Rhinolophus ferrumequinum: one gene and its partners. The protein of the gene in region 4 purifies or fractionates together with the protein of the main gene of each other region. This does not show direct contact. Links are inferred from orthologs where the notes say so. Each region holds a gene or a part of one and is shown on either strand. Other genes may lie near its edges.

Region 1 (7,590 bases), on a different chromosome or scaffold from region 4:
CTGGAGGTGGAGGGGTTGGTAAGAGCTGTGGGTTAACTACACACATGAGCTATATTGTTAATGATTATGTCATTAACACATTTAACAATATATAAGTGTAAGAGTAGATGCTCTGCTGAGCACTGTCATGCATCTCATTTAATAAGAGCATCCAGTGAAGTACCAGCTCCTTCCCCACTGCTGCCGGCCTGCCACCTTCCCACTCAGCAGGCAGCAGCATGTTCCACCCTCGTGCCCGGCCTCTATCACTAATGCAGGGCCCATCCTCTGGACTCCAGACGTGGATTTGCTCCTTAGAACAACGAGACCAAAGGCCATTTACAAAGGCTCCACTGAGGTGACTGAGGTCTGGTTTCGTCAACTATAAGAGAATAATTAATACTTGCCAGTAAAAAAACAGACTCATTGTTATGGTGGCCACATGCAGGCTATACAAGGCCATTTTGTGAAATTCATGGTGGAACCCAGGGGCAGACAGAGGCCAAAAAAACCCCTCAAATGTGGAGACTAGAGCTCTGCACGTTTTCCAGGAGCGCTGTTCCCAATGTTAATCAGCTTATTGCTTATTCATCACCTAATCCCACTCTCTGGTCAATGACAGCAGTGGAGGCCCACGGAATGGCCGGAGAGGGCACAGTTTATCAGAAGGGACATGTGATGTTCTTCTGGGACCTCTCCCAGTTTTGAAATTCATGTCTACTTCCTTCTCTGGGCCAGCCTGACTTGAGGAAAACTCTTCAATCCTATTGGATTTTATACCCCCCTCTTGGCCTCATGCCTAAAACAAGTTTTTCCTTTTCCATTTCCAGCAGGGACTGAACAAGGCAGGCTTGGGTGCTTACAGAACCGGTCAGAACTGGCCAGGAAATATAATAAAGAAGCTTAGTGAGCCCAGAGCTAATGCCCGCAGCCAGAGGCTCATTGTGCACAAGCAGCCAGAGGCCCTGGCTTTGTAAGTAACAACACACTTTTCTTGTGGCCTAGTAACTATCCTGGCAGATGGCAGCCAGTGCCAACAAGTAATTCTCTATAGGAAACTTTCACCTCCCCCATGTGGACATTGGGCGCTCAACAATGCTTTGTAGTGACCGAACCGATGACCGGTTACTCGGAGGATATTTTTGCCCTGGGGGCCAAAGCTGCCCTTGCAGCAAACAGAGCTGACAGCTGCGAGATATTGTCATTTCAGGGAGCTGTTCCACAAAATTGCTACCCAGCTCCCCACTCCGACTTCCAGTTCACTGCTTGAAATTCCACCATTAGAGGTATCAAGTATTTGACCTAAAGCTTTGTTTCCCATTAAAATGCCTCTCAGCTTCTATTTCCTTTCTGGTCAAAGGACATCAAAGCACCTGCTCCGCGTGGAATGGGAAATTCTTTTGTATTTAGCTCCTGAGGATAAATATGGTCACTGGCTCCTTTCTCGAAAACAAGGAGACTGGGAAGCACAGGGCACTGTGTGGAAGTGGAGGTAGGAGGCCTCAGGGAAGGTAACAGAAAAGGCTAATGCTGGAGAAAACAAGCTGCCCAGGGATGTGGACCTAGATTTTTGCCCTCAAACATCTGTGATCTTCAGGGTTGCCAAAAATCTTCCAATATGGCCTGTGCCCAAGAGGAAGGTAAGACCCCCTGACCCCCTACTCTAAGGGGACACAGGTAGGAGGTTTTTGGAAAGGGGAGTGTGGGAACCAGCACTCTCCGGATTTGCCCCTCATGCCTGCAGGACTGCCCCAATCTCCCTGCCCATTCCATGCCAGCACAAGCACCCAGGAACTGGCAGGTAAAGATCCTTGTCCCCTTCCTGGCCTGTCTGGAAGGGGAGTTGATGGCCATCAGCCCTTGGTGAGTGTTTCTGCTGTGCCAGGGAAACTAGGCAAGCAGAGGTCAAAGTCAGAATCCCTGGGCTGGGGAGGGCACCTGGGCAGGCTGTGCCCTTCTCTAGAGGTTCTCTGTATAGAGAACCATACTCTTAATCAGACCATGCTTCCCGCCCCTACTCCTAAACAGAAAGCACCCCCTTCTCTTGCTTTTCACATAGGCGGTGGTGTGCACTCATCCAGGGGGAGGGCTGTCCTGAAAAGCTGAAGCCACCACAGACAGGTAAGCATCGTCCTGATTCTTCAGATCTCAAGAAAAGCCAACCTTGTCCCCAGCAGTCAGCCCACTCATCCCCCTCCTCCTCGTCCTTCCCCGCCCCCAGCCATCCCCGAGGAGAGCGCTGCAAGCTTCGGCCAGAAGGCTTCAAAGCGGGTCAGACGAGCCTTCTCTCTCATTAAGGCCTCCACCCCCAAACATCGCCGCTTCGCCCCTCGCCCCACCCATCTCAGGTTCACCGCAGGGCGCTGGGTGCCTAAGGTGGCTGCCAGGCGGGCCCAGGCGGCTCTTGCTAGCCCTGGGGGAGGTGATGGTGGCCGCGGCGGCAGAGGCGGAGGCTGGCGCTCTGCAGTACCTGGGCGCCGGGATGTCGCCACCGCCAGGCTCGCGGCCGCTGCAGGTGTCTCCGGTACCCTGGATAAGGGCCGCTCCCTCTCCGGCCCGCGGCTCCTGCCCAGGCCGCGCACCTGCTGCTGCTGCTGCGGCCGTCGCGCCGGTGCCCCGGTGCCACTCCTTGAGTCTGCGCGTCCCTGCAGGGGGTCCGCGTCCCGGGGCCCAGGGTAGGCGGGAGGGGAAAGGGGACCGCGCGGGGCCTGGAGCCCAGCGATCGGGGCTTCCGGGGGCCCTCAGGCCGCGCTAGCGATGGCGCTGCTCCGAGCGCCCCCCGTAGGCTAGATGAAGGGGTGCCGGCACCTCGCGCATCCTCAGGGCTGCATCACCGTCTCCAGCAGCATCCCAGTCCCCGCGCGGGCCCCAAGGCCCGCGAGCGCCGCTTACCTGGGTCTGCGGCAGGTCCGATGGAGCCGCCTGAGGATACCGCGGGGCCCCGCGGCGGGGCACAGGATGCTCTGCCGGGCTCCGCTCCACCGGCCGCCGCGCTCGGCCCCGCCTTCGGTCCCGCCCCTCCGCCCGCTGCTGCTCCTCCTCCGCCCCGGGTGCCCGGCCTCCTCCCCGTCGCGGCTGTCACACAAAGAGCAGGAAATGGCTGCGGCGAGGGGCTCCGGGTGCGCCCCTCAACGCGGCCGGCGCATCCCAGACCTGCACCTCGGGCTCCCGCCCCAGTCCTGCCAGCCGCCCTGCTCTGGGGATGGAGAAAGGAGTGAGGACTGGTTCCTAGGCCCGCATGCCTGGGAACCACACCTGCAGCAGGGGAGGACCGCAGCTTTGGGCTCCATTCGGATCTCACTGATAGCACAGTAGTTCCAAGTGCTCTTTTATCTATCTAACGTTTATCCAGCACCTATTTTATTCCAAGTACCGTGCCAGGAGCTGGGTATGCACTGGTGTACAAAAGACAGGGTCCCTGCCCTTTTGGAGCTTTTCACCTACCAGGCGACACAGGGCATGCATAAATTAACCTAGCAAATGTCCAGTTACAGCTGAGAGAAGTCTTGTGAAGGAAAGGAACGAAGTAAAGTGATAGAAAGAAAACCTGGGGCTTGGGGAGAGGGACCGTCTTTCTAACAATTGAGTCTGCTCTCCTCAGTTCAAGAATAACCTCTGGCACTCCTTTTCAGTCCCTTAAAGACGAATCCCCGAAGCTGCCATCTCTTAAGCAGGGACATACTTCAACTTCATTCAGGGAGAAGTGCCTAATGGACAAAAAGGAAAATATATGGTGACAGGAAGTAATTCCTGGCAAAGCCCAGGGAGGAGCTAAGTAAGAGAACAGGCACTTTCTTCAAGGCGGAATCTGCTATTTAGGACTCTCCAAAGAAATGGTTCCACGTGCATGCAGCCTGATGGATCTTCAGACCAGGCTGAAGTAAGACAACCAAATCCTAACCTTGAAGCAACTCCCTTCACTCTGTTCCTGAGATGCCACCATAGCTGTCAGGAGCCATACCTACCTTACAGGGTAAATAATTTGAAAGCATTTGAGACAGTTTAGGAGTATACAGATTGAAAGGATAAAGTCCTGTTAAAAGAGAACTATTCGTAAATGTTTGCTGAGGGCCCACAAATTTATCCTTAACACTCAGCTCTTCCGATCAGGGGCTATTTATAGAAGAGCTGTATTACTCAAGTGATTCTACAGAGCTATGGCAGTCTTTGCCCGCACTGATCTCACACCATTTCCCAAGTACTCAGAAATCATGATCCTCTGTGGTTTGTTGTTAAGATTACTCATTCTAATTTAAATCTAATTTAAATTGCTGTTTTAGAAAGAATAGCATATATATGTATAAGCATATATATATATATATATATATACACATATATATATATATATATTTTGTGTGTGTGTGTGTGTGTGTGTGTGTGTGTCCCTGATGACATGTGAGAAAGCTGTGGGGGTGTTTGTGGAGGATGGCATTTAAAAAGGAACTGAGGTTTCTTTTTTTTTAATTTTTTTTTTTCATTTTCCACTGTGATCCTTGGGATTTTGAGTGTCAGTGATTACAAAGATGTAACAATGAAAGAATGGATTTTCATTCTAAATAGAATATTATTTGGAATGTTGTAGATTTCTGGAAAATGTATTCCTCCCTGAGGTTCCTTCCCTGTCTTTTCACCTTTTAGGAGCAATTGCTTAGAAACAAAAGACACGATTACCTATGTATTTGGTTGGATCTGAGGCAAAAATAATTCTCTAACCCCTGAATTATATTTGCTTATAAGGGGAAGCAATGTGATCTTTTTGAAACCACGGTGTTGGAAATCCAGAAGCTTGCCTTTTGGTCCTAGTTTTGCAATTAAGTGTTCTTAGGCAAGTCACTTCACCTCCCTGTTTCCCCTTCTATACAGTGAAGTAGGTTGGATACACTCCAAGGTACTTATGAATGTGGAAAATCACTTGAGTTAAAACAAAGGACATGCCCTTGCCATGTTTAAAGCACTTCATTAGCTCCCCAGGCTCTAGGATGGAGCCCCAACTTCTGACCATGGCCTGTGAGAGCCTTCATGACCTGGTGTCTCCCTCCCCTATGAACAAGCTTGCTATGCCTCAGCTAAAAGGAATCTGTTAGTTCCCCAAACTTGCTGTGTTCTCTGTTGCATGTGGCCTTTGCACAAGCTGGACTTTGTGGCTCGGAAGGATCTGACCTCCTTTCCCTTCCCCCTTCCACACTTTACTCAGTTTGCTGCCGAACGTCTCTCCATCCTTCTGGTATCTGCTTAGACATCACTTCCTCCAAGGTCCCTCCATGTCTGGGGTAGCTTAGGGGTAGCCGTCTAAAGGTCCCTGGGCTTCCTCTATGTACCACTTGTTATGCTATGGTGTCATTGGTGACATCTTTGCCTGCATCCCACCATGAGAGCGTGATCACAAGTAGCCTGTTATTTGATAGAGAGATATTGAGGACGGTTTTGCTGTTGAAACACAGCTGCTCCATCCTGGGCCTTTTAGAAATGCATCCCTCCCCTCACTTGACTCATTTCCCACACCTTCTAGAGAACTGGTCTCCCCGGAAGGTCAGATCTTGAACACACAACTCGATAGCAAAGAACATTTCATCTTTATTTAAACAAATACTTTTTACAATAATTTTGGTTAAGGCCTGAGAAGGAGGGTCTGAGCATATTCCGAATGGACTTGGAATGTGAAAACCTAGCTGAGGAAATGGGGTCGATGCTGCTGTATTCTCAGGCCAGCACAGGCGGCCCTATAAGCAACCCCACAGAGTGGTTGAGAGCCGGGAACTTGGGAACAGACAGCTTGGTGTCTGTATCACATATCTTGCTCCCCCCAAACCATTCCATTCTTCTCACCCTGGAGACTGACCTCTCTACCCTCTCGGGTTTCCTTGTCTTCTGGCTTCCACTTGGGTTTGGTTAACAGGAAGCCCCAACAGTCGATGGGGTGAAAGGAGAGGGAGTCAGTATATTATTTCCCTGGCTTCCTTCTTTCGATGTTGCCTTGGGAGTCTTCTTCTGTCAACGCAATCTTCTCCAGGTGATTCTCTGCTTCCACGTTCCAACGATCGCTCCCTCTTCTGTCACTTCAGGCCTAGGGGTGGTAACTGCTCCTTAGCTGTTATTTTCCTCTGGACCACCTCCTATGCTTCTCTTAAACCTGACCCATGCGGTTTGAAATAGGCCTTTTGTAAATAAGCCCTGCTTGAATTATCTTCATGTGAGTGTGATATGTTTGGTTCCTAACTGATATCTTATTCATCTTATGCACCTAACACAGTGCCAAGCAAAAGCCGGTGAATGCCAACTATTTATGAAATAAATAAAAGGATCTCTATAACTCCTTCTAACAGTATCTGTATGGTTCTGTTATTTCCCAAGCCAACTACACGTCATAACTTGGGGAGAAGCTCAAAGTCATTGAAGACACACACACACGCGCACACACACACACACACGCACACACACACACACACATGTTGCTGCATGTAGTGTGTGCTTTGCCTCTTCCTCAGAGCGGTGGGCCTCAGAGTGCTGGAAGATTCCAGAGAGAGTAGGGTCTGCAGGATAAATGCTCTGCGAAGCAGATCTGTTGGTCCAGCCCCCTTTGGAAGTTTCTTATCTGGACCGTTTGCCAATGGGAGTGAAGCCCAGAGGTGAGTTCCACAAAGGACTGCCTGGAAGCCACAGGCCTTCTCACCATGCCTAATGGTCCTCTGGTGAATAAACTGGCTCCTGAGTGGACCTGGGCGTTTGGTGGACTGAAAGGTACCGCGAGAGCTCAACACACCCAAACTCTAAAAACCCAGCTTTTATTTCACAGGGATTTTAAGAGGAAGGGGAACAGCTATTCATTTCTGTGCAATTGTGACTGAAGAATTCCAAATTACAATTTCCACATGTCACCCACACAGCAGATGACAGTGAGTGAGTATGAACAATAATCTGGTACTAGGAGCAAGACAAAAACCATCTCCAAGTTGGTTTCTCTTCCACCAGCTTTGCCTCTCTCAAATGCACTCACCAGGCCTCTGCCAGAACATATATTTTAAATGCAAGTTTGACTCTCTCTCCTTGCTCAATGACATCTTTTCTATCTACAGGTAGAATTCCAACTCTTTTTGTCTTTTAAAACATAGTCCTTGCCTAGACTGACAGCCTCAGTTTCAATTTGCCTACCCCTTCTATCATACTTACCCTGGCCAAGACCACACACACACACACACACAAACACACACACACCCTTTATGCTCCAGCAATGGTAAACTGATTATAGCTTCCCAACACATTCTATTTCCTCTATCCCTCTGTCGGGAAAGTATTTATCTTATTTCTGCCCACTTGCTTGTCTTGAAAAAACAAAACAAAAAACAGAAAAAGACCATAATTCATCTTCAAAACTGAGTCAGACATTATATCCTCTGACAGTGCTTCCCAGACATCAGTGTACATATGATTACCTATGGATCTAATGGAAATGTAGATTTTCGTTCAGTGAGTCTCAGGGTGAAGCTAGAGAGTCTGCATTTCCCAAAAGTTGGCCATGCTGCTCTTGCTGACCCAGGGACCACACTTTGAGTAGCAAGATTCCAGGAAGTTTCCCCTGACATCATACTTGTTTATATGTCTGCCTAAGAAAAT
Region 2 (6,969 bases), on a different chromosome or scaffold from region 4:
TTCTAATATTAATATTTTAAGTTTTTGCTATGAAAATTAACTGAGTTAATCCTTCAATAAAGAAATCAAAAGCTGTGATAATGAAAATCAGTACTTGGAAATGATAGACCTGAGTATTATGAAAATAAAGCAAAATGTATAAGTATAGTATTACACAATATTCAGACATTGTCTCTGAATATATGGTTATTTACAAACCTGAAAAATAAAGTAGTACCATGTCATACCTACAAATGAGCACAACTATGTATTTTGGGTTGTGTCAGCTACAAGTTTTTCAGTGAAAAAGGCCTTAATATTTTCTGGAGATTTTATTTTTCGCAAACTTAATTCAATATTCTACTTGCTTATTACGTCATATAACTTTTTTCATCAACGTTAACTACACGTACATTTGTAAGTACATATTAACTATAAAACCTACTGAATTTGCAATTATTAAAAACCCTTAATGGATGGGAAACAATCTTCAATTTAAGGCCATACCTTTCCAAAGCAAAATCCAATGTTGATAAATCAGCCATTCTAACATGTCACGGAAAATCCCAATGACATTTTTTCATTTTGTTTTACACCGAAATATTTGTCATCATTCATCAGCTAAAACATTCCAATTTTCTTTAAAAGCATTATGCAAACATCTTTACTGAATTTACACATGCTACTTATCGAATAAATGGGTATTTTTTATCTCCACTTACATATAAGGAAACCAAGGCACAAAGGTGTCCATTTTGTAAATTGCAAGGTCATTTTCTAAGCAAGCAACTGATCTTACACCATCAAATTATACTGTATGTGCGCCACTTCCAAGTGCCATAAAACAATTACTGTACCTTAAAACAACTGCCTCTGCAATGCCTATGTGCAATTCGGTTTTATCAAGAGGGTTATGGCAACAAGCTTAAGCAAGAAGAGCTGGAAAGGGAGAATTACAAAAACAAAAAGAAAACACTTATATTTGGTAGTGAATCATTTATTTTAAAATAATGAGATGTAAAGTTTTTAACATAAGAGCAAGTAACCAACAGTTGTTTCTTCCATTTTCAAAAAATATTTCATCTTTCATTTGGATCATGCAAAAATACCCATCCTGTAGACAGAAGTTAGAAAAATGATAAAAATAAAATCTGTAACAAATAATTAAATACATGATATTGCAAAGAAAACTGAATAAAAAATAAAATTTAGATAAATTAGCGAATGCACATTATAGTAGTTAAACCCCATCTTAAATATTAAATGCTTCCTTTCATTCAACTGAAGGCTATGATTAGCAATCAAATATTGTTACTGAAAATCAACACAAAACTTTTCTTATTCAAAACTTGAAAATTTTTATATCATGTACTTTATTCAAATAGTCGACCTAAATAAAAATACTTTTCCTAACAAACTTAGAGCATGAGAAAAGCTGTTCCTGAGAGTTCAAAGACTGAAACTGCATTTGTAATTATGATATAACGCTATCAACGTTAGAAAAATGAAAGTTACCTACCATACAAATTAAATTTAAGAACATTAGACGGGTTGAATAACCAATAAATCAACTACATAAATTACTGGACAGAAATAAGACTTAGCTAATACGTGAATCCAACACCCAAGAAAAAACTTAAAATATAATCGAAGACACGCCTTATTCAGAAAAGGACAGCATTAGACCAAGTCGTTTTAATGTACCTAGTCTAGCTGGGGATTAATTAATCGGCTATAGAGCAGGTTGTGAATGTTCAGGTCAGGGTGCTTTCTTCTCATCACTACTCCAGTTCCTCATCCGCAAGTGCAAGAGAAGGCGTCAGAGTACCGAAGCTAGGGGGCATGCTGTAGCCAGGGGAAAAGAAAAATGGGAAAGGTGCAGTGGATGCTGCATAGTTGAATAATTATCTGGGTGGCACAATGGGCGAGTCCGACCGACACTGAAGCCCAGGGAGCGGCTCCCTAACTCTGCCCGAGGCACCCCCCCATTAACAGGCATCAGAGGCGACCGCCCCGCTTCGCTTTCTCTTCAGGCGAAGAAAGGGTTCCCGGTACTCGCTTTACCGTTATGTGTTTAGGCACAGAAGCGCGGCGCAAACACGCAAACGCATAAGCTTGCTTTACAGAGCCCGGCACGTAGCGCGAGAAGGGGCTTCTCCGCCACCCCGTGCTGCAGCCTCCCCGGGAGCGAGAAGACACGGGGGTGCACCATGGGTGCAGGGCACGGGCGCTCAGGCGGTGGCACCGCAGGTGAGCCCTGCAGTCTCCCCACCTAGAGCAGCCTCAGGCGGTCCCTGCAACCGAGACCCCTGCGCGCCCGCCGGCCGCTGTCGCCCTCGGCACGCAGCCCGGCGGGCGGGTGGGCGGCGGGAGCTCTGGAACCCGCGAATGGGGGTGGGGGCCATCGCGGGGGAGGCGCGCCCATCCCCGTAACCTTTGCCGGGCTAGAGCACCACACCACCACTCTCCATTCTGGCCAGTGAGAAAGAGTTCCTCCCCAGCACCCTCTCCCCCCAAAAAACAATTCCTGAGAGATTCGCGCTCACCGTGAAACCTTGGGGGGCTCTTGCCTTATCCCTTTTTCATGCTTCGGCGGCAGCCGCCGGTCCCCCTCAGCTCCCGGGACTCCACCTAGAGCCTCCAACAGAGTAAGCTCCCGGGTGGAACCCGCTCCGAGCAGTGGCCGAGGGATGGGGCCACGGGGAACGCCGCCTGCGGCGCCCGCCGGTCGCCGGACCCACAGTATGCTCGACGCGCGAGCGAACAACACCGCGAGCCGCCGCCGCCGCCCCCCACCCGCCCCCTCCCCGCGCGCTCCTCTCCACAACTGGGCGCGGGGACCCACGCCTGAAGCAGGGGGGACCGCTAGACTCGCCAACTAACCTCCCATCCTTCCCACCAGGAGCTATAACCCCCCCAGTCAGGGTCTTCCCACTTAAGATTCTCGCTATCCTCTTCAGCCCCCAGTGCCTCGGTTCAGCGGTGGTGGAAAACTCAGCCTCCGTCCACTTACTCATCAGCGGGTATGAATATCAATCTTCCCCCCTTTCCTGAGGTTTTATGGTATAGCCCAATCCTCAGTTTGGGGGAGGGGGACAGAGAGAACTGTGCTAAGCCAGGGAATGAGGGAAGATGGTAGCCAATTGAATGAACCATCAATTCAGGGGCGGGGTCAAAGAGATGCCTGCCCGCCCCGCCCCGCCCCCTTGCTCCAAACTACATTTCCCATTGTGCCTCTCCCACTTTCCGTCGCGCTGCTCGCCGGGAGTGTAGGACCTCGAGGCCGCAAGGTACATAGGAACTCGTAGTCTTTAATTTAGTCAGAAGGTCCTGAAAGTTATAAACTATTATAATTCTCTCTATGTCCTTAGAGAAATGCTTCCAAATTCTCAGTTATGTTGTACTTATTATAACATTATTAATTTATTTAAAATGTCATAAATTATCGTAGCAAAGGAAGTAAATAATGTGTGCCATGGCAATCTGTCAGGACCTGGGAGCCGCTTCTTCTTCCGCCGGGGCCTGGTCTCCGCCGAAGTTCTGTTGCCGTCATGTCGGCTGCGATTGCGGCTCTGGCTGCTTCCTATGGTTCGGGTTCAGGGTCCGAATCGGACTCGGACAGTGAGAGCGGACGGTGTCCGCTGCCAGCGGCCGACTCCCTCATGCACTTGACTAAATCGCCTTCCGCCAAACCGTCTCTGGCAGTGGCGGTGGACTCGGCTCCGGAGGTGGCAGTTAAGGTAAGCGCTGTTGCCTCTGATGCGGTTCGGGAATTGGCTTCTGCTCCAAAATCTGACAGTCACTTTTAGGCTCCTGGTTATCTCTTCCTCAGTGCTGAGAGATACGTCACTAACTCTTGGATCTCTTCTTCCCACATGCATCTTCCTTGGGAGAAGCCGGGGGCTGGAAGTTCAGGACAGCCCTCCACTGCTCCCCGCTCCCGCCATCAGAAACCAAGTGGGAATAGGGAGTGAAATTTGAATTTGTGGATTAGGATGTGGCCTGGATAGAGCGTGTGTACTCTCACAACATAAGAAAAGCTAACTCAGGATTTCCCAAACTAGAGTATGCGCCCTCACTTGAAGTGAGTGGTGGCTGGGCTTTGTTTTGTTTTTGAAGTCAGAACTAGATCTTGATCCCAGCTCCACCACTTATGTGAACTTGGCCAAGTTATACAACCTCCTCTGTTTCCTCACCTGTACAATGGAGATTTTTTAAAAGCACCTATCTATATAAGAGGATTATTGTGAAAATGAAGTGAAATGCAAATAAAGCTTATAGCATAGAGCCTGGTATCTACTAAAAGTGCAATGCATGTTAGCTCTTTTGATTATATACCAAGGGTACTAAAAAAATGTATACACACTTTAAGAAAGGAAAAAACTGTTAAAACTGTAATAATACATACCAATAACAAAAGATGAATACAAGTCACGTTTGACTTTTGCAATTACAACAGGTGCTCAGAGTGGTTACCATCAGCATCCAGACGCTTCTGATTACTAGCTAGGTACTGCTTGAGCAACGTTGACCAAAGTGTCCACTTGTATACATTTTTTTGGCACCCCTGGTATGTCCACAGTGAGAAAAGCCCTTGGATTTAAGAACCAGCATGCTGCATGATCCCAACTGAGAAAGGTGATAGAGGGAGAAATTGGGTTATATAGTTGATTTAACAAATATTTCTTTGAACACATGTTATTTACCAGGAACTGTTCTAAGGTCTGAAGACATAGAAACCAACAAGCCAGACATCTTTGCCATCATGATACATACATTCTAGTGGAAGAGGCAGCCAGTGAAATGTGAGCAAATAAAGTGGTTACAAATTGGATTGAGTACTGTGAAGGAAACAAATAGAGTACTGTGATAGAGAATAAGGTGGGAGTATGACTTCGATAAGTTGGTCAGGGAAGTCCTCTCTGAAAAAGCAGCTTTGAAAAAGCGAGAAGCCAGCCGTGTGCAAACGAAGGCATGAGTTTCCAAACAAAGGAGACAGCAACCCTTCAGATAGCAGTTGCCTGTGTTTGAAGAACTGAGGAAAGATTAGTGTCTAGAGCCTAAGGAGAGCACCCACCAACTGATAGTGTAGGCCCCGTAGAACCTAATGGGGGTGATCAGAAGCTCAAGATGTAGTGAGTGGAGGCAGTGTGCAAAAATTCCTGTGTATTTAAGATGTTCCCAAGTCTAGTGTTAATAACTTAAGTCTTTTACCCCTGTTTAATGAGCTACTTGTAAATTTCACGTTTTTACTAATGGACAGCTGGTAAGAATGCTTAGAATCCTCCTATTTTTATAACAAAACAAACTCCCCCAAACTTAAACCCCTTCAGCAACGTCCGGAGTCTTCATTCCTTTCACAGCTCAGCTTTTTGGAGCTCTCCCGCTTCACTACGTGTTTTCCTTAACTCAAAGCAACCTAGTTTTCTTGGGAACACTCTTGGAGTCATAAGACGTCATAAAGCATGTAAAGTATTACTGTCATTATTTCCAATTGTAAACTCCTTGCTAGCTGCACAAACGATTAAATTTCTCTCTCAGAATGGCTCTCAGGCACCTCCATTCCAATGTGCTGAAAAATTAATGCATTTTCTTTTTCTCAAAATCTACTTCACCTGTTTTTCCCATTTTGATTAATGATCCCATCCATTAGTCTAAGCCAAGAATAGAGGGGTCTTCCTTTTCTCTTTCTTCTTCCTCAGCCCCTGAAGCTAGTCATTCATCTGGTTCTAACATTTCTGCTTCATTCATTTCTCTCAAATCAATTCCTTCCTCTTCATTTTCACTGACACAGGCTTCATATCTTCCTTACTTCTCCCAGGAGTCATTCTTGACTTTACTTTCTCTCAACACCGCTACTTTTGGGTAGTGGGTCCTGCCCATTATGGTGCCATGATGTTAATCAAATCTCTTTGCTCTTCTGCTGTCACCTTTTAGTTCAGATTCTTATCATTTCTCTTCGGGACGATGATGATAACCTTCTAACTAGTCTTTCTACCTGCTCTTGTCCCCCAGTTCCATAGCCCACTCTTTCCTTCACAGTGCACTCAGAGTGATCTTTCTAAAATCCAATATTATCATATCACTTCCCTGCCCAAAGACACCATGTTGCCTTTTGGGTAATTTCTCAGTTCCTTGTGTAACATATGATGCTTGCCGTTCTCCCACGCTGAAATCTCTGCAAAGGCTGAAAAGCCTTATTTTCTTTTTTCTTAAGATTTTGCCCAAACTTATCTCTCTGCCTGGAAATTGCTTGCTTCGTGCCTTCCTTCTCCGCCTCCCCAACCAAACTCTGCTGTTCTTCAGTCTCATGCACGTTTCCTCCTCTGTTTACCTTAGCACCTTTTTATACCTCAATTATAGCACTTACCACATTGCTGTAATTTGTTAACCTTTTTCTTTTCCCTGGACTGTTGTGAGGCCCTGGGAACCAGAGATTGTTGCATCTGCTCTCTTTCATGTCTCCAATGCCTATTACAGAAGATTAAGGGAAATATATTTGGTGAGAAAATGAGTGAAAGAGTAGGTAAAAAAGATGATCTTCAGAAAAGCATGTACAGTGAGAATTGATGTATATTGATTGGGTAGGGGTGAGGGGACGTCTCTAGAACTCACTTAGTTCAATCACTTCAAGAAAATCTAGGAGAGGTTACCTTAGGTCCCAGAGGTCCATTGGAAGCAGAGCTGGGGCTAGACCCTCTCAGTGATCTAGGCTCTATGATAATAGAGTAACGGACATTGATCATTGCTAGTTTGTGAACCAATTCCTCCTTATATGCAAAAAAAAACTTACACATAGTAAATGTAATGATAGAAAAGTGACTAAGGGAGGTGTGTAAAGCATGCAGATACATTCATCTGTATTTGACTAATTGTATTGTGACTAATAACAAGAATTTTGGCAGCTCGTGCAATGTTTTTAATCATTTCCTCAAATACAAGGTTTAATTCACAAAGAGGTATATAGCAATTTTAAATTCGTATGAACCT
Region 3 (7,471 bases), on a different chromosome or scaffold from region 4:
TAGCTGGCAGGCCTCAGAGGGACTCCAAGGAAAAACCTACCCTAATCCCTTTGCCCAGGGAGGAATTTCTCTGGACTCCCACACTGCCTGAACTACCTCCATGATGGCACATTTAGGCCAGCCCATGCTTGCGTCACCTCCCCAGCCAGACTGAGAGCTTCTTGAGGCTCAGGCTTGGGGCAAACCCATCTGAGTTGGCGTTTGGCCAGCCTGTCGTTTGCTTTTGTCGTTGTCCTCACCAACATGATGACTGTCCTCATAGCTCGGTTTCTGGCCTCACCTCCTGGAGCCAGCCACACCTCCTACAGACTTTCCTGGTCCAGCCTCCCCAAGGTATTCCCTTGGCCGGAAACCCTCTCTCATTCTCGAAATTCAGGTCAAAGGTCACATGCCACCTACCTCAGAGAGGCCCTCTCTGACGACCCCACCTGTAGTGACCACACCTGCCTGTCCCTTGGTCAATCCCTCTCTTTACCTTTGTTTCATTTCCTCCATAGCGCTTACCACAACCTGAAAGTCTTATTCACGTATGTGTTCCTGCCTGTTTATCTTCTGACTCCCCACTACACCCACTAGGATGACAAAAACACAGGGGCAGGGGTGTGCTCTGCCCAGCACTTAGAACGTGCTTGGCACACAGTAGGTGCTTAAGCATCTGCTACTACATGACTTTGGGACATCGCATATGCCACTCCCCATGCTGAGAATATCATTCCTTCCTGTATCTTCCCTGGCGAACTCACATTTATCCCTTCAGAACACCGTCTAGTTAGCACTTAACCAGCGAAGGCTTCTTTGACCGCCTCACATACGCATCACAAAGCTGGCATAAAGGTCTCCTCTGGGGATACACAATGCCCTGTGCCACCTCCATTAGTGCACATGTCACTGTGAATTGTGACTGTAGGTGCCAGCAAGGTCTATTTTCCCAGTGAGACTCTCTTCTTGAGGGGAAAGGGTGAGACACTAATTAGGTCTCAGGAACCATTTACTGAGTGAATAAATTAGCAACAAGTGAGTAAATCTATCTCCCTGAGACCCAGCTCCCATCCTTACACCCTCTCCCAATGACCTGTCATACCTCTCATTTCCCAAGAATTTGACCTCGCTCCCTGTCCTATGAATTCATCAGTAAATCCTCTTGTTGGGTGCGTGTGTGGGGGGGTGTGAGCCCTGGGGGAGGAAGGTGAGGAAAGAGATGGGGGGGAAGAGTGTCAGATACGACACACAGGGCATCTTAGCTTATGAAGCCCCAGTGGAGAAGTCTGTTTGGTTCCCGGGTCCCCTCAACCCAGAGAATAAATTAACTAGCCCAGTTCGCCAGTTTGAGGACAGAGGCAAACTCAGACCCACAGTCCTAAAGCTCACTTACTGAAGGATGCCATAAGGACGGAATGAGAAGGCAAGGGGGTGGAAAGGGTTGTGTTCTTAGGTGCCCGGTTCCTCCCACTGGTAAGTCTCCAAGACAGGGGTTCACTGCCTCCTCCCGGGACTTACTGAGTCAGGCTGTGCAGGGGTGGGAGCCCCCACTGGTATCTGGGAACCACTTACTACGGTTTGGAGAGAGGGAGGGGCCTCCTTTGCGGCCACAAAAGGAGGAAGGAGCTCCTGGGCCCGGGAACTAGGGCGGGGGCTCCGGTTTCGGTGTCTCGTGCCGCTCCAGGCCGCGCGGAGAAGGAGGGCGGAGCCTGGGAGAGCCTGCGCCGGGCCGGCCCTCCTCCCTCAGACCTAGAGTCCCGGGCCCTGACTCCCACCGAATGCCTCTATGAGGTCAGTTTCTCCACCTGCATCTAAAGAAAGGGGCTTGCGATCAGCTAAATATGCACTTGTGTCACAGTCCGGGGGTACTGTGACCTTGGGCTCGTGGTTTTCCCCACTCTGAGCCTTTATCTGCTCCTCTGTCGAAGGGGCGCCAATCCCCCCAGTCAGCCTCACAGAGGGTAAGGGGTCTGTTCCTTCCACCCCCAACCCAGGTAGGAGCTCAGAAAATATTTGTGCCATGGATGTGACAGGGACACAGAGTGACAGGAGCTGGAGACAGAGACACACAGAGCCCTCTCCCTGCTGCACACCTAAGACCCACCCGCCCGGCACTCAGGTACGCCCAGCGGGCATAGCGCCTTGGCTCCTCCACCGCGGCTCCACAGCTCAGGCAGCTCCCTGGCCTGGAACACTCCTCCCTCCCTCATCCTCTAGGCCACTTTGAGCTGCCAAACTTGCCCTTCAGGTTCAGCTCTCGCTGCCCCTCCTCCAGGAAGCCTGCCCTGCCTCTCTTAGCAGCCTCTTCTGGGCTTCCACAGCACCCTTTGTGTCCTCCATTATAGCACATACCTAAAGAAAGACCATCATCTCTGTCCTTGTAACATTCATCAATCGTTTCCTCTTTGCCAGGTCCATAATCTCATTTAATCCTCCCAACACTGTGATCACCATTTTACAGTTAGGGGCCTGGGGCACAGAGAGGTTAAGTCATTTGTCCAGGATCACACAACTAGAAAGGGGCCAGGTCACAAAGTAGCAGTGCAGGCTAGCACCAAAGGATGCTGGGTCTAAATCACATGGCCTGGATTCAACTGTATCCATCAAGTATTATTAGCTGTGCGATTGCAGACAAATTACTTAACTTGTATGAGCCTCAGTTTCCTCATGTGTAAACGGGGTTCATAGGACCTATTTCATATATTGTTGTGGGGATTATACATATACACACACAGATATAATGTACTCAGAAAAGGACTTAAGCACACAAAAATTATTAAGTGGCAAAGCCAGAACATGAACCCACACCCCTGGACTCTGCCATCACACCACACCATATTATTGTCTCTTTCTCTCTGTTCTTTCATCCCCTTCAATCTAGGACAAGTATGTGTCTTCTCTGGTTTCCAGCCTCACTCAGCATAAACTGTGAAGTCAACACGTCTTGACTGAAACAATGAAGCAATAATGCACATGAATGCACCAAGTACAAAAAGCTCATTAATTCAACAAATATCTCACTTACTCTGTGCTGTACCCTATTCTATATGCTGCACATAGAGTGGGAGTCTGAACATACCCTTGGGAAGCTTTCATTCTAATGTGGACACATATAACAAACAAAAGGAACACCTATTCCATAGTATGTTAGAATGTGATAAACGCGCTGAAGAAAAATTAAGTACAAAGCAGGGGAAGAAATGAACAAGGGGAGGGTAAGAGATGCTGCAATTTTAAATAGGATGGTTTGCCAGGCCTCTCTGAGAAGGTGACATTCGAGCAAAGACTGAAGGAGGTGAGAAGCAAGCCATGAGGCTGTCTAAGGGAACAGCATTCCACGAAGAGGGAACAGCAAGTGCAAAGGCTCTGAGACAGGATGGGGTCTGGGAGCTCAAGGAGCAGCACGAAGGCCGGTGTTCAGGAACAGAGTGATAGGGAGAGGAAGAAGAGGAGATTAGAGTAGTGACCCTTAAGACCCTACAGACCTCAGCTTTCATACAGAGAAAGGAGAGCCACTGAAGGATTTTGAGCAGAGATGAATTTGACTTGGGCTGACTTTTGGGCTGACTTCAGTTTCTATGAAGTCCCTGCACTGAAACTAGACTGAGGGAAAGGGAGCAGGAAGACCAGTTTAGGAGGCAGGTCCATGTGAGAAATGATGGTGGTGAGAACTAGGTGGGAACCACTTATAAGAAAGAATAAAAGTGGGCATGTCCAGCCTCCTGCTTTCGGGGAGGTCTGAGCTTTGGCAGCTGACGTTCTCATGCATTCACTGCAGGAGTAACCTTGGGCATGGCTCTTAACCTTTATGGTCCTGTTTCCTCATCTGCGAAATGGAGACCCCCTCACCTCACTGGGTTTGGGAAAGAAATGATGTATACATATACCTCGGTTTGCAAGGACCTTGGTACAAGGAAGTGCTTGAAAGCAGACTTTATGCCTGAGGAACCTGCTTGTTTTTTGCGATGTACCTGGAGCTGAGTTGAGTCTTAGCCATCAGCATCATCATAGGGGTTTATTGAGGGAAATTTCCAAAGAAAGAGGAAAGAGGAGGGATGGGGGTCGAGGGCACCCGTGGTGATGGGAACTGTGGACAGGTGTGCACAGAGCAGGGGATGACACTGGCCCTGGAGATAGAAAAACAGCCGTGGGTTCAACGCCCATCCTTCCACATTGACCGCCCCTCTCTTGAAACATGAACAAGTAGAAATCAAACCTCCGACTTCCAGAGATATTAGGAGAATTGGAAGGGGGTATTTGAGACCAAGAACAGGTAGTGTGACATCTAGGACTGTTGTTATTGTTCTACTGTTGTTGTGAGGAGACAATTATGGTTCCTGCTCCTCTGAGGCTGTCCCAGCTGCCCCTCCCCTTCTTCCCCACCCTGGGTCCTTCTGCCAGCCCCGCCCAGGGGCCACTCCAGCTGGGCTGTGCCAGGTGAGTGCTCAGGTATGCGGAGGCGGGGCAGCCCGGGGAGGGAGAAGGAAGGAGGGGCCCTTGGTCTGGAAGGGAGAGCAGAACGGGGCCTCTCTGCTGACAGAGCCTGACAGGGCAGGTGAGGAGGGCGCCCGGGAGAAGGTCTGGGTCTGAGGGAGAAGGGGCTGGAAGGTGGGGACTCCTGGGTCTGGGGGAGGAGGAGCATGGGCCTGGACTCCTGGGTACTGACAGGAAAGGCTGCGGGACCCAGACTCTAGAGTCTTGTAGAGGTGAGGGCTGAAGATTGGGCCCCAGTCCCTAAAGGAAGAATATAGGGTCATACGGACTGAGGAATTGGATGAGTGGTTCTCTGAGGAGACCCGGGCTCAAAACCCTCTGGTTCTTAGGAATGAGCAGCTTGGAGCTTAAACTGGGTCCCTGAGAAGATAAAGCTGGGAGACTGGATCCTGGATAGAGGAGGAAAGTGGGATACACATAGATTAGGAAAATGAATGCATGGATTCCTGAAGGATTTGGGGGCCAGTGTACTAGGTGTGAAAGAGGAAGGGCTGGGGGCCTGGACTCCTGGGTCTGAGGGAGGAGGGGCCTAGAGTACCACGTCTGAGGGAGGAGGGGCTGGGGGCCTGGACTCCTGGGGCTGGCCTGGGAATCTTAGGTCCCGCAGGTCAGGTCAGGCCTCACCTCTTCACTGGCTCCCAAGGTGCCTCCAGGCCGCAGGAGCTCCCCATTCTGAGCACCATGAGCACCACCACAGGGTAAGTGCCCCCTGGCCACCAGGCCCCCAAGCCCACCACACCTCTCCACCCTCTCACCCGTACCTGCCGGTGGCATTTACAGCAGCCCAGATCTGGACACTCAGAAGTAAGTCAGAGCTGCCTCCTTCCCTGTCTGGGCTGTAGTTAGAGCTCTGCTCCAGAGCAGACAGACCTGGGTTCAAATCCAGATGCTAACACTCAGAAGTGGTATGACCCTGGCCAAAGGACATCTCCTCTTTGAGCCTCAGTCCCTCCTCTGTGAAACAAGGACAATTGTGAGAGCTTGATGGGATAGTGCACATAGAACTTAGCAGAGAACTTGATTAACAGCAGGTACTCAGCTAATAGGAACTGCTATTGCTGTTGTTATTATCTTATTATTAAATAGTGACCCTTTGCTAAAAAGTCAGACATGTTTATAACAAAGGCTCAAGTCTCCTGGAGTGAGCAGGGAGAAGGACAAAGACAGACACATGGGAACAGGTGCACAGGAGATGTGACGTAGTAAGTTCTCCAGGCCAGAGGTAATCAAATTGTGGGGAGATCTGACTGGCAGGAACAGAATGAGAGGTGGAAGTTTGACTGAAAGGGTTTCTTATCCCTCATCTCTGACCTCACCTGAGCTCCGAGCTTCTGTTATTTCCGTGGAAATGGGGACTCAAGAGTTCTTGGAGAAGGTGACCTTGAAGAGGGGGGTCGAAGGCAGGAGACAGAGAAGGATTTGGCTGGGAAGAGCCTGGCCCGTTGCGGGTGGGAAGGGAAGAAGGTAACTCTCTGTCTACTCCGAATGCTAATGCTATTGTAAAAAATCCCATTTATTGAGCAACTACCACACAGTTATTGAGGCTGCAAAACACTTCAACTGCATTATCTCATAGAATTTGCCCAACAGCTCTACCAGAGGGAAGCTGTAGGGTAATTAACCCCTATCTTACAGAGTAGGAAACTGAAGCAGGAGAGGTGAAGTCTCCTACCTTGGGTCTTATGGCAAGGCAGTAGTTGACGGGGGATTCAAACCCAGGTCCCTGTGACAGTAGGGACCACACTCACCAACACCACCCAGTACCACCACCTCACCTGTCTTAGTAATGTCCAGCTATGCCCTGCCCTCCCCTGCTTAGAATCCTCCGTGGCTCCCCAGTATCCTCAAAATGAAGTTGCTGCTCTGCTTGGCATTTGAAACCCCCATGATCTCCCAATTCCCACAGCCCCTCTCACCCCTGTTTTCCTTCACCAGCCCAGAAGCTGCCCCCAAACCAAGTGCCAAGTCCATCTATGGTGAGTTTTCAAGCAAGGAAACCCCAGGCAGAGAGAAACAGGATCTGAGGAGTGAGGGAACTGAGAACATGGACTCCTGGGTCTGAGGGAGGAGGGGCTGGGAGCCTGGACTCCTGGGTCTGAGGGAGGGAGGGCCGGGGGCCTGGACTCCCAGGTCTGAGGGAGGGAGGGCCGGGGGCCTGGACTCCTGGGTCTGAGGGAGGGAGGGCCGGGGGCCTGGACTCCCAGGTCTGAGGGAGGGAGGGCCGGGGGCCTGGACTCCTGGGTCTGAGGGAGGGAGGGCTGGGGGCCTGGACTCCTGGGTGTGAGGGAGGAGGGGCTGGAGGCAGGGGCTCCTGGGTCCATCCTCCTTTTTTCCCCCACACACCCCACAGAGCAGAGGAAGCGTTATTCAACTGTGGTTATGGCAGACGTTTCCCAGTATCCAGTCAATGTGAGTCTGGGGTCTGCGTTGCCACTGGGAGTCTTGTAGGATGAAAGGAGACTGGGGTGTTGAAAGCAGTTGGGCCTCCAAGTAGAAAGAACTTGGGAAACTCAGTTTGCTCACCTGTGCAGTGAACTTCATCTTGCCTTCGACATGGGCATCAATGGAGGAACTCAATTCCACTGGAATCTGCCAACTTTTCCTCTGGACCAGCTCTTGAGCTGGACAGTCTGGCCACAGGGACAAATCAGATGCAATCCTGGATGAGTAGGGGGCAGACAAGGTCCACAGGTACAGCAAAGGGTGGCAGTAGCTTTAATGGAGGTAGAGGTGCTTAGAAGGGACTAGATATAATCAAGACCATTCCCTGCTTTCAAGGAGCCTCCAGTCTAGATGGGAAGGCAGACCCAGGTGTTAGTCACTCTGATGAAAGAGAAATAAAGGTCATTGGGTAGAAGCATCCATAGGTGGAGCAGGTGATCAGGGAAGGCTTCCCAGAGGAGGTGCGGGTAGTCACAAGCCTGACGGCTGATTCCAGGGGATGCTAAGCCCACCTGGCATCATCCGGGGACTCACTGCTTTCTCGGTGACCCATGCT
Region 4 (7,867 bases):
AAAGTCAACAAGACCCAAATTGCACTAGAGCCAAAAGAACCTGTCAACTAAACACCTTAACCTAATTGGACTATACTTCCAAAATGTAGGAAAACAACAAAATTAAAACTGAATTCTCAGGATAAAAATCACCCAGGCAGTAACTTAACTCATCTTGGGTAAAAAAAAAAAATCTCAAAACGCAAGTCACCACATACTTTCCCTGAGAGGAGGTACATTTACGTAGGCTGTTCATTATAACCCAATCAGGATCACAGAAAGGATACAGAAAGATCTCAAAAGACACCCAAATGGGTACGACTAGTACTTTTGTTCCCTATTCACAGCACCAAAGTTAGCAGCACAGCACATCACAAAGTCAGCTACCACTTCTCCTACAAAGTCTTCAGCATCTTCTAAGCCTGTCTGAGCCTGACCTTGTCTGAGCCTCAGGAAGGCAGCTAGCTAATGGCCTGCATCATGCCCCCCAAAGTTTAAAGGCTACTAAGATAAACATCTTTTTCCCCAGTAAGATCAGAATACCGCACTTGTGTCAATTTAGGACCACCAAAAAAAAAAAAAAATCTTGGGCCACTGATAGTGGTTCTTTGCACCACTGTACTAACGTGTTTAAAAGTAAGAGACTACATGAGAATAAAATGACTTATCTTAACTAGGGATATTACCAAGAAGTTTAAAAATGCTTCCAAGTTACATGATGGTGGCAGGAGGTGAAAAGGAAAGGGGTCAGGGAGGAAAAAAAAAAAAAAAGCCTTACAACAGCAGACAATTACCTGAAAAACAGTCACCAGACAGGTTAAAACACGTTTGCATTTGCCAACACTTAGCAGTTACCACATCATGTATTTGTCAGATTTCCCAACATGCAAAACAAAAAGAAGCCACCCTTTGTGAAGTACTATCTGCTGACTTCTACAAAGAAATGACTTCTGGAATAGGTGCAATTTAACTTCCTGTGCTCTCCCTTTGACTTTCAAAGTCCTTAAAATCTTCAGTAAATTGAGATTCACCTCAATTTTAATATTTATGTTAAATTGAATAAAAGCTGTATGTATTAATATCAATAAACTACAAGGTAACTTTTCTAATTGAAAACTATATCCACATTTCTACTTGGTTTTAGACTATTTCTTAAAGGCTAAATATAACGTTTGCAAAAACAAGAAATTTAGTAGACGTGGCAGGCATTCAACAAGTTTATCAGAATTCCTAAAGTAAAAGCTTGAAAAAGTTTGAGATAAATTCCTACTAGTGCTACTGAAGATATAATGTTACTAATATGGAAACTGAGAAATATTCAGAATATTCTGAAAACAGTATCTCCTTCTAAAAATAAGGAGGAAAAGCATTTGCCAACACAGAAACTATTGGTTCTTTAAAATGACAATCACATGGGAGGAATTTCTATAAATACTTTAGTTCTGAATTGCAATAACCCTAACCTTTCAAAGCACGTTTTGGCCATGTTTTGCCACTAAATAGTGAATTGTTGGTGCCCTTATATTGATAGAAAGGATTCTGGTACTTTATTTGGTTCTATTGTAAACTGTTGGTTTATGCAGTTAAAGACCTACAAACCAAACTATCACACCATAATTCACTTTCAATCATTAAAATAAAAACAAACAAGCATCTGTCATAGTTAAGGCCCCAAGAATTTTCTAATAAATTTACAGTAATATTTTACGTTATGGTTCTAAAACTAAGTATGTTCTGTAACCGATTTGGATTTAGAATCTATACATTCACTTATATTGGTAAGAGAAACCTTCAAAAAATAAGCATCGGGCGATTACACCATTCTATTTTAAGTTACTTTATGAAACCAACAGTTCAAAAACTTTTGGGGACGACAGTATTTAAGACATTTTTCCAAGTAGTTAAGATTAATTTGTGTTTTATAATAACGACAGCTGGAACCTCCTCTAGACATACGTTATGGTGAGGTGGAAGTGAAAATGATGAGAGGGAAGAAACCCGACTTGAAAACGGACAGGCAGGCAAATTTACAAACCTTCAATCAAAGGAATTTTGAGATTAACTTCTCTTAGACGTCTTCCCTCACTCCCCACCCGCTTCCTCCTCTCCTCGGGGAGGTCTGTGTAATGTGACTCATGACAAATTTTTTTAAATAAATAAATAAAAGACACACCCTCTGGATTGAACTGACATAATCTCCCCCACCCTACCCTCCCCCGATACACACACCCCGCTTTTCCTCTCGCTTCTGCTGCTCCTCCCTGTGCCTCGTCCCTGCCCTTTCCTCTCCCCTCTGTCTCGGTCGTAGACCCCTCGCCTGGCGGAGAGGCGGCCGGGTGGCAGCTGGGTCTCAGGCAGAAACCTCGCGACCGGCAGGCTGCGAGGGGGCAGCGCGACTCGGGGAGCTGAGCCCGCAGGGAGGCGGACGGTAGGGGGGCTCCGGGCCGCGGCGGGTTCCCTGCTCCCTCGCCCATTTTCTCTCTCCCCTTCTATCGGTTTCAACCACCACAGCCACTTCCTGTATCGCAGCCCGACTCCCGGAGCCCGGCCACTTGCTCTGTCCCCAGCTGGGGATTGGGGCTGGGGCTTGAGGCGGCCGCGGAGGTTAGGGCTGTTCCCCACCCCGCCCAGTAGGCTGGTCACTCGGGCGGCCGGCGGCGGGTCCTCGGCCCGGCCAGGCAGCGCCCGCCCGCGCGCCCGCGCTTCCTCACCTGTATGTAGTTGTTTTCACAGTAGTCCGCCACCCGGGTCAGGTTCTGGTAACTCTCTATCAGCGCCCTCTTGCCAGACGGGATCTCCTCCTCTAGTAACATTTGCAGCTCTGCCATTTTCCACCCCTCCGCATCGCTTCCTCTCGCGTTAAAGAGACAGAAACAGCAAGGTCCGCGGAGGTTCCGAGCACCTCACAGCCCGGATACAAACCGCCTACCCGCCCTCCCGCCTGGTATTGTGGGACAGCACCTCCCCTTCTTCCTCCTCACTCTCTCCACCCACCTCCACCCACTTCGCACTGCTGCCTCAACCTCCTTCTCTCGCGAGTCTTCATGCTTTTCCCTCCCCCTCCCCCACCACAAGATTTCCGCCCCCTTTTGGCATGGCCTTCTGGGAATTGTAGTTTTTCACAGGCCAGGCTTCCCATCAAAAACGCATGCGTCCAGGGAACCTCGGAAAAAAAACCCCAGGGAGTGTAATTTAAGAACGTCGACCTTTGGTGGTGGTTTAAATCCGGAGTTTCCTGACATCCCCGGGAGATGGCGCCAGAGTGTGATTCCCCGGAATGAAACTGTTTTCCGGAGAAGCCTGTGAAACTTGGCAGAACTTTGAACATTGAATCTATCTCACACCATGCTCCAAAATTTGTTCAGGATATATCATAGGTCCAAATATAAAAGGTAAAATAATAAAGTTTCTGCAAGAAAACAGTAATTTCACAAGCTTGGGTTAGGCAAAAATTTCTTAACTAGGATACAGTTAAGTACTAATAAAATTGGTAAGTTGTTTTTTAATAAAATGAAGACATTTTTCTTATCGCTGCTATAACAAATTTAGTAATAAAACAAAACTAATTTATTATCTTACATATCTGGACATCAGAAGTCAGTTGTCTAAAATTAAGGTGTCAATAGGGCTTTGTTCCTTCTAGAGACTGTAGAGAATCGTTCCTTGATTTTTTTCAGTTTCTAGAGACCATATGCATTCCTTAGTTCATGGCCACTTCTTCCATCTTCAAGTCAGCAGCAGAGTACATTCAAATCTCTCTCTGACTCTGACCCATCATCCCTCCCTCTTATAAGACCCCTGTGCCTACATAGATTTCACCTGGATAATCCGGGATAATTTCCCATCTCAAGATCCTTAACTGGATTATTATACATCTGCAAAGTCCCTTTTGCCACGTAAGGTAATATACTCACAGTGTATAGAGATTGTGACATGGACATTTTTGTGGGGCCATTAGTCAGTCTACTATAGCCATCATTAAAACACTCATTAAAAGACTATTAAAAAAGGGAAAAGAAAGGTACAACATATACATTTGACAAAGGACTCATATCCAAAATAAAATAATAAAAAAAACTCCAAGTCAATAAAGAGACAATCCCATAAAAAAAATTGGACAAAAAGACAACTGCACTTCACAAAAGGCCAATAAATATATGAAAAGGATCTCAACCCATTAGTCATCAAGGAAGTACAAAATAAAACCATAATCGCCACACTCTACCAGGATGTAGTATAAAATTTAAAAGATTACACTACACACCCATTACAAGGGCTAAAATTTTAAAAACCTGACTGTGGGGACAGAGCCCCAAAAAGCAGTTTCCAGGCTCTCAGCCTCACATAGAAAGGTGCTGGCTCAGGTAGTAAATGGCCATCAACTGTGATCAAATGGCCAGCAGCTGTGGCTAGTTGGCTGTCAGCTGTAACCAGTGAGCCATTAGCCATGAATATAACTGCCGTGGCTAGGCTAGTAGCAAAAAGAAAAAAGGGGGAGCTAGCAAGAAGATGGTGGCTGAGTCTGCAAGCGGCGCAGTGAGGGTTGAGAATTGTGTGGCTCCTGTTTCCTGTGTCTCCAACCCAGCCGCCAGCAAGAGTATAGAGATGTGACTCCCCTACCTATGGCTCCGTGGGTGTTCCTTTTTGGCTTCACCATGTCCTGCGTTCTTATGTGGGGAGTGGGACCAGAAACCCCGCCTGACGCCCCGCACGACACTGACAATTGCAAGTGCTAGTGAAATGTGGAGTAACTGGACTCTCAAACATTACTGGCTACAAACTGCTATAGCCACTCTGGAAAAGAGTTTAGTAGTTTCTTATAAAGCCAAGCATACTTAATTTATAATCTAGCAATCCTACTGCTAGGTATTATCTAAGATAAATGAAAACTTACGTTCACAGAAATATCATGATGTGAATGTTTACAGTAAATTTGTTCATAATCACTAAAAGCTGGGAACAACTCAAATGTCCGTCAGCCAGTTACTGGATAAACAAACTGGTACATCCAAACAATCGAGTACTCTTCAGCAATTAAATATAATAAATTATATATTCATACAAAGTCATGAATGAATCTCAAATGCATTTTGCTAAATGAAAAAAGCCAGATACCCACCCACCCACCTCCCCAAAAAATACCAGCGATACCTAGTGTTGGTAAGAATGTATTACATCTAGCACCCACATAAACATACACACACGGATATATATTAGGTTGGTGCAAAAGTAATTGCAGTTTTTGCATTTATTTTTAACTTTTTAAACAGCAATTACTTTTGCACCAACCCAATATATATATGTGTGTGTCATAAAATATACATAAAAATATATATGTTGTTATGTATATGTATACAAGTATAAAAGGGTACAATCACTTTGGAAGTGACTATTTGCTTTGGCACTACCTATTAAAACTGAATATCCACCTCCTTAAGGCCCAGCAATTCACTCCTATGTATTTATTCAAGAAAAATAAGTAATATGTGCATGAAAGGATATGTACAAGAATGTTCATAGCATCTTTATTCATAGGAGCCAAAAAATGGAAACAACCCAAAGACCTATCAACAAAAGAAAAAATAAATAAATAGTGGTATATTCATATTATAGAATACTATGCAGCAGTAAAAGGAACAAACTACTGATACATGCAACAACATAGATGAATCCATTGCTAGATGCACTTTCATGGATGAAAGTTGCTTTATTAAGTGAAATTAGGCAGACATAAAAAGAGTACATACCATATGATTTCATGTCTATGAAGTTCAAAAAAAGGTTAAAGTAATCAATGATGACAAAAATTAAGAATAGTAATCAACCATTGTAAAGGATAAATTGGGAAGCAATATAAGGAAATCTGGGGCACTAAGAATATTCTATGTCTTTATCTGATTAGTGGTTATAAGGGTACATATGTAAATAAAAAAAAATCATCAAACCGTACACTTAAAAGCAGTGCGTTTTTACATAATTTACTGTATGTTATACCTCAGTTTAAAAATGAAGAAAGAAAAAATAGTATTTTTTTAAAATCTCATCTACAAAAAGGGAAAATCAACAGACAAAATCAACAACAAAACTTACAAAATTTGCCAAGAAAAATTCTTGGCAAATTTATTGAACTTTAAAGATAAAAGAATAAAGGAATCTTCTGTAGAAAAAAACAGGTTACCGTCAACAGAAAAAGTATCAAGGTGACCTTTTCTTTTGCAATAGATGTCAAAAAAACAGTAGAACAAAGTCTATAAAATCCTGAAATGAAATTGATGTGACTCAGTGAATCTTTAGTGTAAAAGACAAAAACATCTAAATGCAAAGTTTAAACATCAAAAGTAAGTCGTAATTGAATTAATAAAATAACTGGTTATTAGAATGTCAAGGATAGAATAAAAAATCTTAAAAACTACCAGAGAGAACAGATTTTTCTACAAAAGAATTGCAATTAGTAAGCTCTTATTCAACAATAATAGATACAAAACATGAGGAAGTTATATCCTGAGACCGCTGAAGGAAAATGACTAAACCTAGAATTTAAACCCAGCTAAATGTCATTTCAAAGCCTAATCAAAATAAAGGGACAACAACATATTTACCATGCAAATATTAACCTAAAGGAAACTTGTAAAAATGAATGAACAGAAACCTAATTTAAAATGAAGTTGGGAGGCCACATCCTAAGTGGATTGCGGAGCAGAACAGGAAGAATTCTGTTTATAATCGTTTTCCCAACTTCCTCTTCTCTATAAAAGAGTTTTCTCTCCTTTGTTTCTCTGGACTTGCATGTGGTTCACCATCACACCACATGTACCAAATTGCAATTCTTTGTTGTTCCCAAATAAACTCATTTTGCTGGAGAAATATCTGGCTGTCTTTTGTTTATGGTCAACACTATTATAGCAATAATAATGTCAAGATAATCACATCAAGGCCAAAAAACATTACAAAGCATAAAGAGGACATTAGATAATAATAAAAAGACCAACTCATCAAGAAGATGTAAGCATAACTTCTTATGAGCCAACATCACAGCCAATCAATATATAAAGCAAAACCTTTACAAGAAAAAACTGACATATCAACGATCATAAATGGAAGATTTTTTTATTATCTTTATTTGTATTTTTTATACATGGAAAATTTTAACATATGTCCACCAGAGACCAAAGAAGCAAGCAAAAAGTTGATATAAAATATTTGAACAATAAAATTAACAAAAGCACAAGTAACCAATATTAGAGATGAAAACAAGGACATAATACAATTACAATAATGAAAACTAAACAATTTTCAGATGTCCAGGAGTTACTAGGATGAATAATAAATATGAATTCTATCTGTATCTCCTTCAGTTGGGAGGAAGGGGGTAGAAACAAATTGTGTGCATCAGTTCATGTTCTTTATTTGTGCAGTGATGTGGGTTTCAAACTATTTTCTAGAAGATATTTTAATTTGAGATCCAAAAGGCCTTGCCTAATTGAAATGGGTCATAGACCTAAATGAACGAGATAAAACTATAAAATTTCTATAATAGAACTTAACAGAAAATCTTAGTGCACTTGGGTTAAGCAAAAACTAAAAAGTACATTAAAACATGAAATATGAAATAAAAAGATGATAAATTGGATTTCATCAAAATTTAAAACATCCGTTCCTCAAAGACATCATTAAAAAATGAAAAGGCAAACCATAGATTAGAAGAAAAATATTTACAAAACAAATATCTAGTAAAGGAGTTGTATTCATAATATATGTACTCATAATATATAAAGAACTCTTACAATTCAATAATAGGATGACAAACAAACTGAATTTTTTAAAAAAGATCAAAGATTTGAACAGATGCTTTGCCAAAGAAGATACACAATGACAAACATACAAAAGG

The links.
Region 1: the proteins of ABI1 (region 4) and CYFIP2 purify together in Homo sapiens (co-immunoprecipitation; 4 studies listed by BioGRID and IntAct, with this or other methods). This does not show direct contact. The link is inferred for Rhinolophus ferrumequinum from reciprocal best matches to the Homo sapiens genes ABI1 and CYFIP2.
Region 2: the proteins of ABI1 (region 4) and WASF1 purify together in Homo sapiens (affinity purification with mass spectrometry; 6 studies listed by BioGRID and IntAct, with this or other methods). This does not show direct contact. The link is inferred for Rhinolophus ferrumequinum from reciprocal best matches to the Homo sapiens genes ABI1 and WASF1.
Region 3: the proteins of ABI1 (region 4) and EPS8L1 purify together in Homo sapiens (co-immunoprecipitation; 4 studies listed by BioGRID and IntAct, with this or other methods). This does not show direct contact. The link is inferred for Rhinolophus ferrumequinum from reciprocal best matches to the Homo sapiens genes ABI1 and EPS8L1.

The regions. Positions count from the first base shown.
Region 1 is NC_046307.1:27,467,693-27,475,282, reverse strand, and holds the start of CYFIP2 (cytoplasmic FMR1-interacting protein 2), read right to left. Parts: upstream 3,014-7,590; 5' UTR 2,872-3,013; intron 2,814-2,871; exon of another isoform or gene 2,450-2,813; intron 1-2,449. UniProt on the Homo sapiens protein: Involved in T-cell adhesion and p53/TP53-dependent induction of apoptosis. Does not bind RNA. As component of the WAVE1 complex, required for BDNF-NTRK2 endocytic trafficking and signaling from early endosomes.
Region 2 is NC_046286.1:62,591,257-62,598,225, forward strand, and holds the start of WASF1 (actin-binding protein WASF1), read right to left. Parts: upstream 3,012-6,969; 5' UTR 2,993-3,011; exon of another isoform or gene 2,526-2,992; intron 1,825-2,525; exon of another isoform or gene 1,684-1,824; intron 1-1,683. Other genes in the region: CDC40 (pre-mRNA-processing factor 17), read left to right, coding at 3,531-3,719.
Region 3 is NC_046298.1:48,320,532-48,328,002, forward strand, and holds the start of EPS8L1 (epidermal growth factor receptor kinase substrate 8-like protein 1), read left to right. Parts: upstream 1-4,457; 5' UTR 4,458-4,534; intron 4,535-5,116; 5' UTR 5,117-5,154; coding exon 5,155-5,171; intron 5,172-6,408; coding exon 6,409-6,449; intron 6,450-6,823; coding exon 6,824-6,882; intron 6,883-7,471. UniProt on the Homo sapiens protein: Stimulates guanine exchange activity of SOS1. May play a role in membrane ruffling and remodeling of the actin cytoskeleton.
Region 4 is NW_022680355.1:11,066,774-11,074,640, forward strand, and holds the start of ABI1 (abl interactor 1), read right to left. Parts: upstream 3,021-7,867; 5' UTR 2,808-3,020; coding exon 2,691-2,807; intron 1-2,690. UniProt on the Homo sapiens protein: May act in negative regulation of cell growth and transformation by interacting with nonreceptor tyrosine kinases ABL1 and/or ABL2. May play a role in regulation of EGF-induced Erk pathway activation. Involved in cytoskeletal reorganization and EGFR signaling.